3 linked regions of the Saccharomyces cerevisiae S288C genome follow. Each later gene encodes a partner of the first gene's protein in a complex. Each region holds a gene or a part of one and is shown on either strand. Other genes may lie near its edges. A codon is read from its position in the direction of its gene.

Region 1 (5,160 bases):
TCTGGGTGTTCGTGCTTATGTTAATAAAATTTACGAAACTTTAAACTTGACAAATTCTACTGTTTACAAATTCCAAACTGGTGGTCCGGATGGTGATTTGGGATCCAATGAAATTCTTTTATCTTCGCCAAACGAATGTTATTTGGCAATTCTGGACGGTTCAGGTGTCCTGTGTGATCCTAAAGGTTTAGATAAAGATGAATTATGCCGCTTGGCACATGAAAGGAAAATGATTTCCGATTTCGACACTTCCAAATTATCAAACAACGGATTTTTTGTTTCTGTGGATGCAATGGATATCATGCTACCAAATGGTACAATTGTAGCTAACGGCACAACCTTCAGAAACACCTTTCATACTCAAATTTTCAAATTTGTGGATCATGTCGACATTTTTGTTCCATGCGGTGGTAGACCAAACTCAATTACTCTAAATAATCTACATTATTTTGTTGACGAAAAGACTGGGAAATGTAAAATTCCATATATTGTGGAGGGTGCCAATCTATTTATAACGCAACCTGCTAAAAATGCTTTGGAGGAACATGGCTGTATTCTGTTCAAAGATGCTTCTGCAAACAAAGGTGGTGTCACATCTTCATCAATGGAAGTGTTGGCCTCACTAGCGCTTAACGATAACGACTTCGTGCACAAATTTATTGGAGATGTTAGTGGTGAGAGGTCTGCGTTGTACAAGTCGTACGTTGTAGAAGTGCAGTCAAGAATTCAGAAAAATGCTGAATTAGAGTTTGGTCAGTTATGGAATTTGAATCAACTAAATGGAACCCACATTTCAGAAATTTCAAACCAATTGTCCTTCACTATAAACAAATTGAACGACGATCTAGTTGCTTCTCAAGAGTTGTGGCTCAATGATCTAAAATTAAGAAACTACCTATTGTTGGATAAAATAATTCCAAAAATTCTGATTGATGTTGCTGGGCCTCAGTCCGTATTGGAAAACATTCCAGAGAGCTATTTGAAAGTTCTTCTGTCGAGTTACTTATCAAGCACTTTTGTTTACCAGAACGGTATCGATGTTAACATTGGAAAATTCTTGGAATTTATTGGTGGGTTAAAAAGAGAAGCGGAGGCAAGTGCTTGAGCTTCAATAAAATTGTTTTGTATAAATTAGTTCTGCCGTCAGAAAAGAAAATTAAACATATGTGTATGTTCTTCTCAGCGTTTTATTGTGTACTAAGTAAAGTTGTTTATATGTCCATTATTTTTAATCTAAAAAAAGCATTTGATATTTTTTCCTTCGAGTTATCCATTATACTAGGCAGTTCTCCTCAGGGAGCCATGCTTCAGCTGAAACTTTAGGAAAGGCGCGCTACGCAGGAAGCGCTCTTATTAAAGGGTTTTTCAAATAAACTAAAAATGAATAACAACGATCGAAAATCAATAAAAACTGCAGGAGGCAGCATGTCACTTTCAAATAAGACTGTAAAGGAATTACGACAACTACTAAAGGAAAGGTACACCGTGGAAGATGAACTAACTGAATCTATAGCGCTATCAAGTATGCGATTCAAGCCGTCGCAAGAACCTGAATTTCATGCGCTAAGCCAATCTTCCTTGCTCAAAACTAAACTAAAACAACAAAGTAGTACAGATATTCCGAGTTACACCCACGTACTTATATCAAAATTATCATGTGAAAAGATCACCCATTATGCAGTTCGTGGAGGAAATATTGAAATCATGGGCATATTAATGGGGTTCACATTAAAAGATAATATTGTTGTAATGGATTGTTTCAATCTTCCCGTAGTAGGGACAGAAACTCGCGTAAATGCACAATTGGAGTCATACGAATATATGGTTCAATATATCGACGAGATGTATAATCATAATGACGGTGGTGATGGGCGAGATTACAAGGGCGCTAAACTGAATGTTGTTGGCTGGTTCCATTCACATCCTGGTTACGACTGTTGGTTAAGTAATATAGATATCCAAACCCAGGATTTGAACCAGAGATTCCAAGATCCATATGTCGCAATTGTGGTCGATCCCTTGAAAAGTCTGGAAGATAAAATTTTAAGAATGGGTGCATTTAGGACAATAGAAAGTAAAAGTGATGATAATAGTGCCACTTCATACTATGAACTAGAAACAATCATATTTGATTCAGAATTGAACCGAGCGCTATTTGAAACAAAGTTAAACTTACATTGCGTAATAGAGGATGATGAGTCAGAACAAATATCATTAAATAGATTGATCGATTCAATGAAGCAGTATAGCTATTTGATGGATTCCAAAAATGTTAGAACAAGGATTAAGTTGGCTACTACCAGTGAACGTGTTAGCAACGAAAATAAAAAAAACATTGACTATCAAAACCGTTCAACAAGGTCTCAGTTCTGCCTCAATACGCAAAGGGGGGATAGCACTGAAACAAGCTCCTTTGGAAGCATGTTTTCAGGTGATAATACTAGTGACGTAGATATGGAAGATAGAAACCTTACCGAGTTCGACAGTACTGACACTAGTCTGTGCATAAACGGCGAACCGAGCATTCATGTAAATCGCGTGGAAAGAAGCAGCAGGTCTACCGACAATTTTCACAATTCTAAAAAACGCATGAACAGCAATCAGGAAAGATGTCATGATGAGGGCAATGATATGTTACAGAGAAATGTCTTGGAGACAGATTATGCAAGAGCAAAAAATCGAATACTTGCGTCAAAGATAAAACAATATGAGCGGTTACGTTTTTACAAGGACACCTTTACATTATGAATTCCTAACGTTGCTCCAATGACGCTGCAATAGCTTATGTTTATCTGCAACGTACTTTTAATAGTTATTCCTTCTTGAATCTCTATAAGTATATCTATACCGGGTGACAATTTGATATTTTCGTACGCCGTTATGTGTTGGTTTTTGGTCTTACTGATAAAATGGCATCGAGCTTACAACTGAAGAGAAAGACGATGCATCAGTCAACTTAATTCTCTAATAAAACAGACAGCATTTCCTCGGATCCATTTCGTACATATAAAATCCGAAGCTTTTCAGGACAAAATACTATTTTTCTGTCACTACTAAACGGGATAGTACTAAACGGGATAGTAGAGATAGCTGCCAAATAAGATCAAGAAATTGTGATTTTAAATACTTTATACGAAGATGGTGTACACAGGATTTGGTTTGGAGCAGATAAGTCCAGCTCAAAAGAAACCTTATAATGAACTAACTCCGGAAGAACAGGGTGAACGGGGTGCTGAAATGATCATGAACTTCATGACTTCCTGTCCTGGAAAATCAGTTGTGAGTGGTGTAACAGGGTTTGCACTGGGTGGTGTTTTAGGCCTGTTCATGGCGTCAATGGCATATGATACACCTCTTCATACACCTACACCTGCAAATACAGCAGCAACTGCAACTGCGGGAAATATAGGTGTGGGTGGAATATCAAGAACAGTTCAGCAAATATCTGATTTACCTTTCCGGCAGCAAATGAAACTTCAATTTACCGATATGGGTAAAAAATCCTACTCTAGTGCTAAGAATTTTGGCTACATTGGTATGATATATGCTGGGGTGGAGTGTGTCATAGAGTCACTTAGAGCTAAAAATGATATTTACAACGGAGTAACCGCAGGGTTTTTTACCGGTGCTGGGCTGGCATACAAAGCTGGACCACAAGCTGCCTTAATGGGTGGTGCCGGGTTTGCTGCCTTTTCAGCTGCAATTGATTTGTATATGAAAAGTGAGGATGGTAGACCACCTCAAAACGATTTTAAAGAATGAATAGCCAATTTCGACGAACGATGAATGTTTTATATTTGTAAATATCACCTATCTTAATATTCTGCACGACCGTCCCAGAATTTAAGAACGCTTAATAATTTCCAGAACTACTGTTACTAGTAAAGCAAAAAAATTCCCTGGGAGAATTAATCATGCTTTAACTAGACTCTGGGCCGATCATTTTTGCTGGAAGAAAATGGGAAGTGTAAAAACGATACCCTTTCCAATTTTCCCATGTCGATGAATTCGAGGCGTTAGAGACTGTCGCTAAACTCAAGTGATAGTCACACTTTAATATTAATAAATTGGAAGATTTCAGTCACATATTTGACAGAGGAAAATATAAAAATAAGAAGTAATAAAAGTAAATCATTATATATAAAAAAAATTAAGCATTATTCACACCTGATAAGGATTTTCTAAAAGACGACGCCATTATTAGAACAGGAGCAATTCAAATCGTTAAGCAAAGAAAAGAAAAAGAAAAAGAAAAAGTATGTGAAGGGTATAGACGAACAAAAAGGAAATCATTGAATTTATGGCATTTGATTGACGTTCCTGTTTGGTTCTGCAGTGCTACCACTCATAGCGCCAGAGTGAGCTCCTTCTGTGACCTTTTCTTGATAAGACCGATCACCTGACTCATCCGTAGAGTAAGCGTGCTGGTCCACTGCACTGTTAGCGACATTCGCAGAACCAGGATTACGATCGTTGGTGGTGTAACGCGTCTTAGGGTCCGCTGTTGTTGTGGTGTAACGTGTGTTGGTGGTGGTAGTATGGTACTGCCCATTGGGGTCATTAGTTGCATAGCGTGCGTCGCCATTCGGTTCAGATGTGTAAGCAGCATTATCACCTGCACCTGCTTCGACATCACCGGTCCTAACATTGGTGTTATCGTAAGCAGCTGTTTCTTCAAAAGGCTCGCTTAAAGCTAGTCCGCTCCACCTATGGAGCTTTGTACCCATAGAAGCGCCGCTTCTCCACATTCCTTGGGTTTGATAACGCTTCCTGATAGGTGTTAAGACATTAATTCCCAGTAATATCACACTGATCAAAAACAGTACAAAGCAAAGGCCAGAAAAGGCGATTGCCGCCTGAGAAGAATTACATGCTCTTCTATGACTGTCAGCAGTATATTGGCCACTGTACGGATTATAGTATAATCCGTCTGCATTAGTGTTGCTACAGCTACGTTCACCTTGAGCTTTGGCAAGAACAACGAAAGCTGCTAGCCATAGCATACAAACGATCAATTCGGCACAGAAGTACATTCCTATGTAGATCAATGTGGGTAGGGCCAGACACAAAATACCTAAGGCAATCAGATAAAACACACTAATGACACCTGTTGCCAATGTGAAGTTGGTTTTCTTATTACCTCTATTTCCATAGGCGTGG
Region 2 (2,432 bases), on another chromosome or scaffold:
ACTTGATAAGAAGAGTATTGAGAAGGGCAACGGTTCATCATCTCATGGATCTGCACATGAACAAACACCAGAGTCAAACGACGTTGAAATTGAGGCTACTGCGCCAATTGATGACAATACAGACGATGATAACAAACCGAAGTTATCTGATGTAGAAAAGGATTAAAGATGCTAAGAGATAGTGATGATATTTCATAAATAATGTAATTCTATATATGTTAATTACCTTTTTTGCGAGGCATATTTATGGTGAAGGATAAGTTTTGACCATCAAAGAAGGTTAATGTGGCTGTGGTTTCAGGGTCCATAAAGCTTTTCAATTCATCTTTTTTTTTTTTGTTCTTTTTTTTGATTCCGGTTTCTTTGAAATTTTTTTGATTCGGTAATCTCCGAGCAGAAGGAAGAACGAAGGAAGGAGCACAGACTTAGATTGGTATATATACGCATATGTGGTGTTGAAGAAACATGAAATTGCCCAGTATTCTTAACCCAACTGCACAGAACAAAAACCTGCAGGAAACGAAGATAAATCATGTCGAAAGCTACATATAAGGAACGTGCTGCTACTCATCCTAGTCCTGTTGCTGCCAAGCTATTTAATATCATGCACGAAAAGCAAACAAACTTGTGTGCTTCATTGGATGTTCGTACCACCAAGGAATTACTGGAGTTAGTTGAAGCATTAGGTCCCAAAATTTGTTTACTAAAAACACATGTGGATATCTTGACTGATTTTTCCATGGAGGGCACAGTTAAGCCGCTAAAGGCATTATCCGCCAAGTACAATTTTTTACTCTTCGAAGACAGAAAATTTGCTGACATTGGTAATACAGTCAAATTGCAGTACTCTGCGGGTGTATACAGAATAGCAGAATGGGCAGACATTACGAATGCACACGGTGTGGTGGGCCCAGGTATTGTTAGCGGTTTGAAGCAGGCGGCGGAAGAAGTAACAAAGGAACCTAGAGGCCTTTTGATGTTAGCAGAATTGTCATGCAAGGGCTCCCTAGCTACTGGAGAATATACTAAGGGTACTGTTGACATTGCGAAGAGCGACAAAGATTTTGTTATCGGCTTTATTGCTCAAAGAGACATGGGTGGAAGAGATGAAGGTTACGATTGGTTGATTATGACACCCGGTGTGGGTTTAGATGACAAGGGAGACGCATTGGGTCAACAGTATAGAACCGTGGATGATGTGGTCTCTACAGGATCTGACATTATTATTGTTGGAAGAGGACTATTTGCAAAGGGAAGGGATGCTAAGGTAGAGGGTGAACGTTACAGAAAAGCAGGCTGGGAAGCATATTTGAGAAGATGCGGCCAGCAAAACTAAAAAACTGTATTATAAGTAAATGCATGTATACTAAACTCACAAATTAGAGCTTCAATTTAATTATATCAGTTATTACCCGGGAATCTCGGTCGTAATGATTTCTATAATGACGAAAAAAAAAAAATTGGAAAGAAAAAGCTTCATGGCCTTTATAAAAAGGAACTATCCAATACCTCGCCAGAACCAAGTAACAGTATTTTACGGGGCACAAATCAAGAACAATAAGACAGGACTGTAAAGATGGACGCATTGAACTCCAAAGAACAACAAGAGTTCCAAAAAGTAGTGGAACAAAAGCAAATGAAGGATTTCATGCGTTTGTACTCTAATCTGGTAGAAAGATGTTTCACAGACTGTGTCAATGACTTCACAACATCAAAGCTAACCAATAAGGAACAAACATGCATCATGAAGTGCTCAGAAAAGTTCTTGAAGCATAGCGAACGTGTAGGGCAGCGTTTCCAAGAACAAAACGCTGCCTTGGGACAAGGCTTGGGCCGATAAGGTGTACTGGCGTATATATATCTAATTATGTATCTCTGGTGTAGCCCATTTTTAGCATGTAAATATAAAGAGAAACCATATCTAATCTAACCAAATCCAAACAAAATTCAATAGTTACTATCGCTTTTTTCTTTCTGTATCGCAAATAAGTGAAAATTAAAAAAGAAAGATTAAATTGGAAGTTGGATATGGGCTGGAACAGCAGCAGTAATCGGTATCGGGTTCGCCACTAATGACGTCCTACGATTGCACTCAACAGACCTTGACGCTCACGCCGTAGCGGGCGACAAGTCAAACGGAACAACCGTTGCCGTTCCCATCGGAGTCCGACCTAGGCCGAACTCCGTGAATTTCTGATAACAACGGTCGGTAAAGACTGGTTCCCCAGTATATTTCTTCTCTCAGGAGCAGGGGCCAATGCCAAAAGCGACATTAACCCGGAGGACAAGGCTCCACTGTGTTCCACCGAATTTCCCACCTGATAATATCTGATAACCCGCCCATAGGTGGGGATCCTTCTGTAAACAGGTTTCTTAATCGTAGGAATTACCACTGTTCCACTGCCAATCGCAGCTCCCAGAGTTTCGTTCCC
Region 3 (2,454 bases), on another chromosome or scaffold:
CCAAAATTGGCACTCAGGAAGACATATTCCCATTCCTGGGTGGTGCCGGGCCATACTTCTCTTTCCCTGGCGACTATGGTATTTCTCGTGACTTGCCTGAAGGTTGTGAAATGAAACAATTGCAAATGCTTGCCAGACATGGTGAAAGATACCCAACTTACAGTAAAGGTGCTACCATCATGAAAACATGGTATAAGTTGAGCAATTACACACGTCAATTCAACGGCTCATTGTCATTCTTGAACGATGATTACGAGTTTTTCATCCGTGATGACGATGATTTGGAAATGGAAACCACTTTTGCCAACTCAGACAATGTTTTGAATCCATACACTGGTGAGATGGATGCTAAGAGACATGCTCGTGAGTTTTTAGCGCAATATGGCTACATGTTCGAAAATCAAACCAGTTTCCCAATTTTCGCCGCTAGTTCTGAAAGGGTTCATGACACTGCTCAATATTTCATTGATGGTTTAGGTGACCAATTCAACATCTCCTTGCAGACTGTCAGTGAAGCCATGTCCGCCGGCGCAAACACTTTGAGTGCTGGTAATGCGTGCCCAGGATGGGATGAAGATGCTAACGATGACATTTTGGACAAATACGATACCACATACTTGGATGACATTGCCAAGAGATTAAACAAAGAAAACAAGGGTTTGAATTTGACCTCAAAGGACGCCAACACTTTGTTTGCATGGTGTGCATACGAATTGAACGCTAGAGGCTACAGTGATGTTTGTGATATCTTCACCGAAGATGAATTGGTACGTTACTCATACGGCCAGGACCTGGTATCGTTTTACCAGGATGGACCAGGTTATGATATGATCAGATCCGTCGGTGCCAACTTGTTTAACGCTACTTTGAAGTTGTTAAAGCAAAGTGAAACTCAAGACTTAAAAGTCTGGTTGAGTTTTACCCACGATACCGATATCCTAAACTATTTGACCACCGCTGGTATAATTGACGACAAAAACAACTTAACTGCCGAATACGTTCCATTCATGGGCAACACCTTCCATAAGTCCTGGTACGTTCCTCAAGGTGCTCGTGTCTACACCGAAAAATTCCAATGTTCTAACGACACCTACGTCAGATACGTCATTAACGATGCTGTCGTTCCAATTGAAACCTGTTCCACCGGCCCAGGGTTCTCTTGTGAAATCAATGATTTCTACGACTATGCTGAAAAGAGAGTAGCTGGTACTGACTTCCTAAAGGTCTGTAACGTCAGCAGTGTCAGTAACGTCACCGAATTGACCTTCTACTGGGACTGGAATACTACTCACTACAACGATACCCTATTAAAACAATAAATTGTATAAATAAATAATATTGCAAATATAAATAAATACCCATCGATTCTGATCTTCTTTTATGTACTAGTAGGGTAACGAGTTTGTAGATTAGCGGCAGAATGAAAAGAAAAAAGTTAACTAAAAAGTAAGAACAGCAAAGTTGATTGTAGTCTATATTGCTGAAATAGATATCGGAGCTCCCGTATAATATTAAAGTGCACCAAGAAAAGGATGTCGTTCTTTTTAAATAGTCTAAGGGGCAACCAGGAGGTCTCGCAAGAGAAGCTAGACGTTGCAGGAGTGCAATTCGATGCGATGTGCTCGACTTTCAACAATATTCTCAGTACGTGTCTTGAGAAATGTATTCCGCATGAGGGCTTTGGTGAGCCTGATCTAACGAAAGGTGAGCAATGCTGCATAGACAGATGTGTGGCAAAGATGCATTACAGCAATCGCCTCATTGGAGGATTTGTACAAACACGAGGTTTCGGGCCAGAGAATCAGCTACGACATTATTCGCGATTTGTGGCCAAAGAAATAGCTGATGATTCCAAAAAATAGCTGTAAATATGAGGACTGTCTGTGCTGTTTGTATATAATAGTAACCTGCATATATAGCATTATAAGCTGTGTAGACAATTTTAGAAGTACATTTATATGGTACCCGCACCTGGGTCACGTGCATTCCCCTCACCCGTTTTTTTAGGTGGTGTCTTTTTTGTTTTTTTTTTTAGGTGGCGCGGCAACTATAAAGTACAGCAAGTGAGGTTGAGGCAATACTGGGAGTTTACACTATGGGAGACAGCTCCTAACACCAAGCAGAAAAACGACTTTTTCGCAAAGTATGTAAGGCGCTGGGTGAGCCCAGCGGACGAGGATGGGCTTAATAAGAACGTACAGTTTAGCACAGCTAGAACAGGATACAGCTAAGGGCAACTCTGCTTTTCGGGAGAAGTTAAAGAGGGGTAGACAATGATGGTAATCTTATAAACCGGCTACAATGAAGGTTGTAGCAGCAAGGAAGATGATATTTTAATACGGTTCAGGTGAAATGAAATAGCCGCCCATAACGGCATGCTCAAGTTGTAAGTCAGGACTCTAGCTTTCTACTGTAGTATCCTCTAAAGGACTGCTGTTCTGTGCACCCCCTTCC

Evidence for each region. The genes of interacting proteins can lie anywhere in the genome.
Region 2: the proteins of TIM22 (region 1) and TIM9 are in contact, whole or in part, in a cryo-EM structure (PDB 6LO8), measured with the Saccharomyces cerevisiae proteins. Residues at the interface, in NP_010064.1 of Saccharomyces cerevisiae: Glu196 (codon at 3,724), Asp197 (codon at 3,727), Arg199 (codon at 3,733), Pro200 (codon at 3,736), Pro201 (codon at 3,739), Gln202 (codon at 3,742), Asn203 (codon at 3,745), Asp204 (codon at 3,748), Phe205 (codon at 3,751); in NP_010894.1 of Saccharomyces cerevisiae: Thr37 (codon at 1,685), Asp38 (codon at 1,688), Cys39 (codon at 1,691), Asn41 (codon at 1,697), Asp42 (codon at 1,700), Phe43 (codon at 1,703), Thr44 (codon at 1,706), Lys51 (codon at 1,727), Glu52 (codon at 1,730), Cys55 (codon at 1,739), Lys58 (codon at 1,748).
Region 3: the proteins of TIM22 (region 1) and TIM12 are in contact, whole or in part, in a cryo-EM structure (PDB 6LO8), measured with the Saccharomyces cerevisiae proteins. Residues at the interface, in NP_010064.1 of Saccharomyces cerevisiae: Ser41 (codon at 3,259), Cys141 (codon at 3,559), Glu144 (codon at 3,568), Ser145 (codon at 3,571), Leu146 (codon at 3,574), Arg147 (codon at 3,577), Ala148 (codon at 3,580), Lys149 (codon at 3,583), Asn150 (codon at 3,586), Asp197 (codon at 3,727), Gly198 (codon at 3,730), Arg199 (codon at 3,733); in NP_009649.1 of Saccharomyces cerevisiae: Cys44 (codon at 1,662), His47 (codon at 1,671), Glu48 (codon at 1,674), Gly49 (codon at 1,677), Phe50 (codon at 1,680), Gly51 (codon at 1,683), Thr56 (codon at 1,698), Lys57 (codon at 1,701), Gly58 (codon at 1,704), Glu59 (codon at 1,707), Cys61 (codon at 1,713), Cys62 (codon at 1,716), Arg65 (codon at 1,725).

What each region holds. Positions count from the first base shown.
Region 1 is NC_001136.10:66,585-71,744, reverse strand, and holds TIM22 (translocation channel protein TIM22), read left to right. Parts: upstream 1-3,138; coding exon 3,139-3,762; downstream 3,763-5,160. Other genes in the region: GDH2 (glutamate dehydrogenase (NAD(+))), read left to right, coding at 1-1,105; COP9 signalosome catalytic subunit RRI1, read left to right, coding at 1,426-2,748; YDL218W (uncharacterized protein), read right to left, coding at 4,299-5,160. UniProt on the Saccharomyces cerevisiae protein: Essential core component of the TIM22 complex, a complex that mediates the import and insertion of multi-pass transmembrane proteins, such as mitochondrial carrier family members, into the mitochondrial inner membrane.
Region 2 is NC_001137.3:115,635-118,066, forward strand, and holds TIM9 (protein transporter TIM9), read left to right. Parts: upstream 1-1,576; coding exon 1,577-1,840; downstream 1,841-2,432. Other genes in the region: Arf family guanine nucleotide exchange factor GEA2, read left to right, coding at 1-166; URA3 (orotidine-5'-phosphate decarboxylase), read left to right, coding at 533-1,336. UniProt on the Saccharomyces cerevisiae protein: Mitochondrial intermembrane chaperone that participates in the import and insertion of multi-pass transmembrane proteins into the mitochondrial inner membrane.
Region 3 is NC_001134.8:426,563-429,016, reverse strand, and holds TIM12 (Tim12p), read left to right. Parts: upstream 1-1,532; coding exon 1,533-1,862; downstream 1,863-2,454. Other genes in the region: acid phosphatase PHO3, read left to right, coding at 1-1,319; YBR090C (uncharacterized protein), read left to right, coding at 1,959-2,143. UniProt on the Saccharomyces cerevisiae protein: Essential component of the TIM22 complex, a complex that mediates the import and insertion of multi-pass transmembrane proteins into the mitochondrial inner membrane.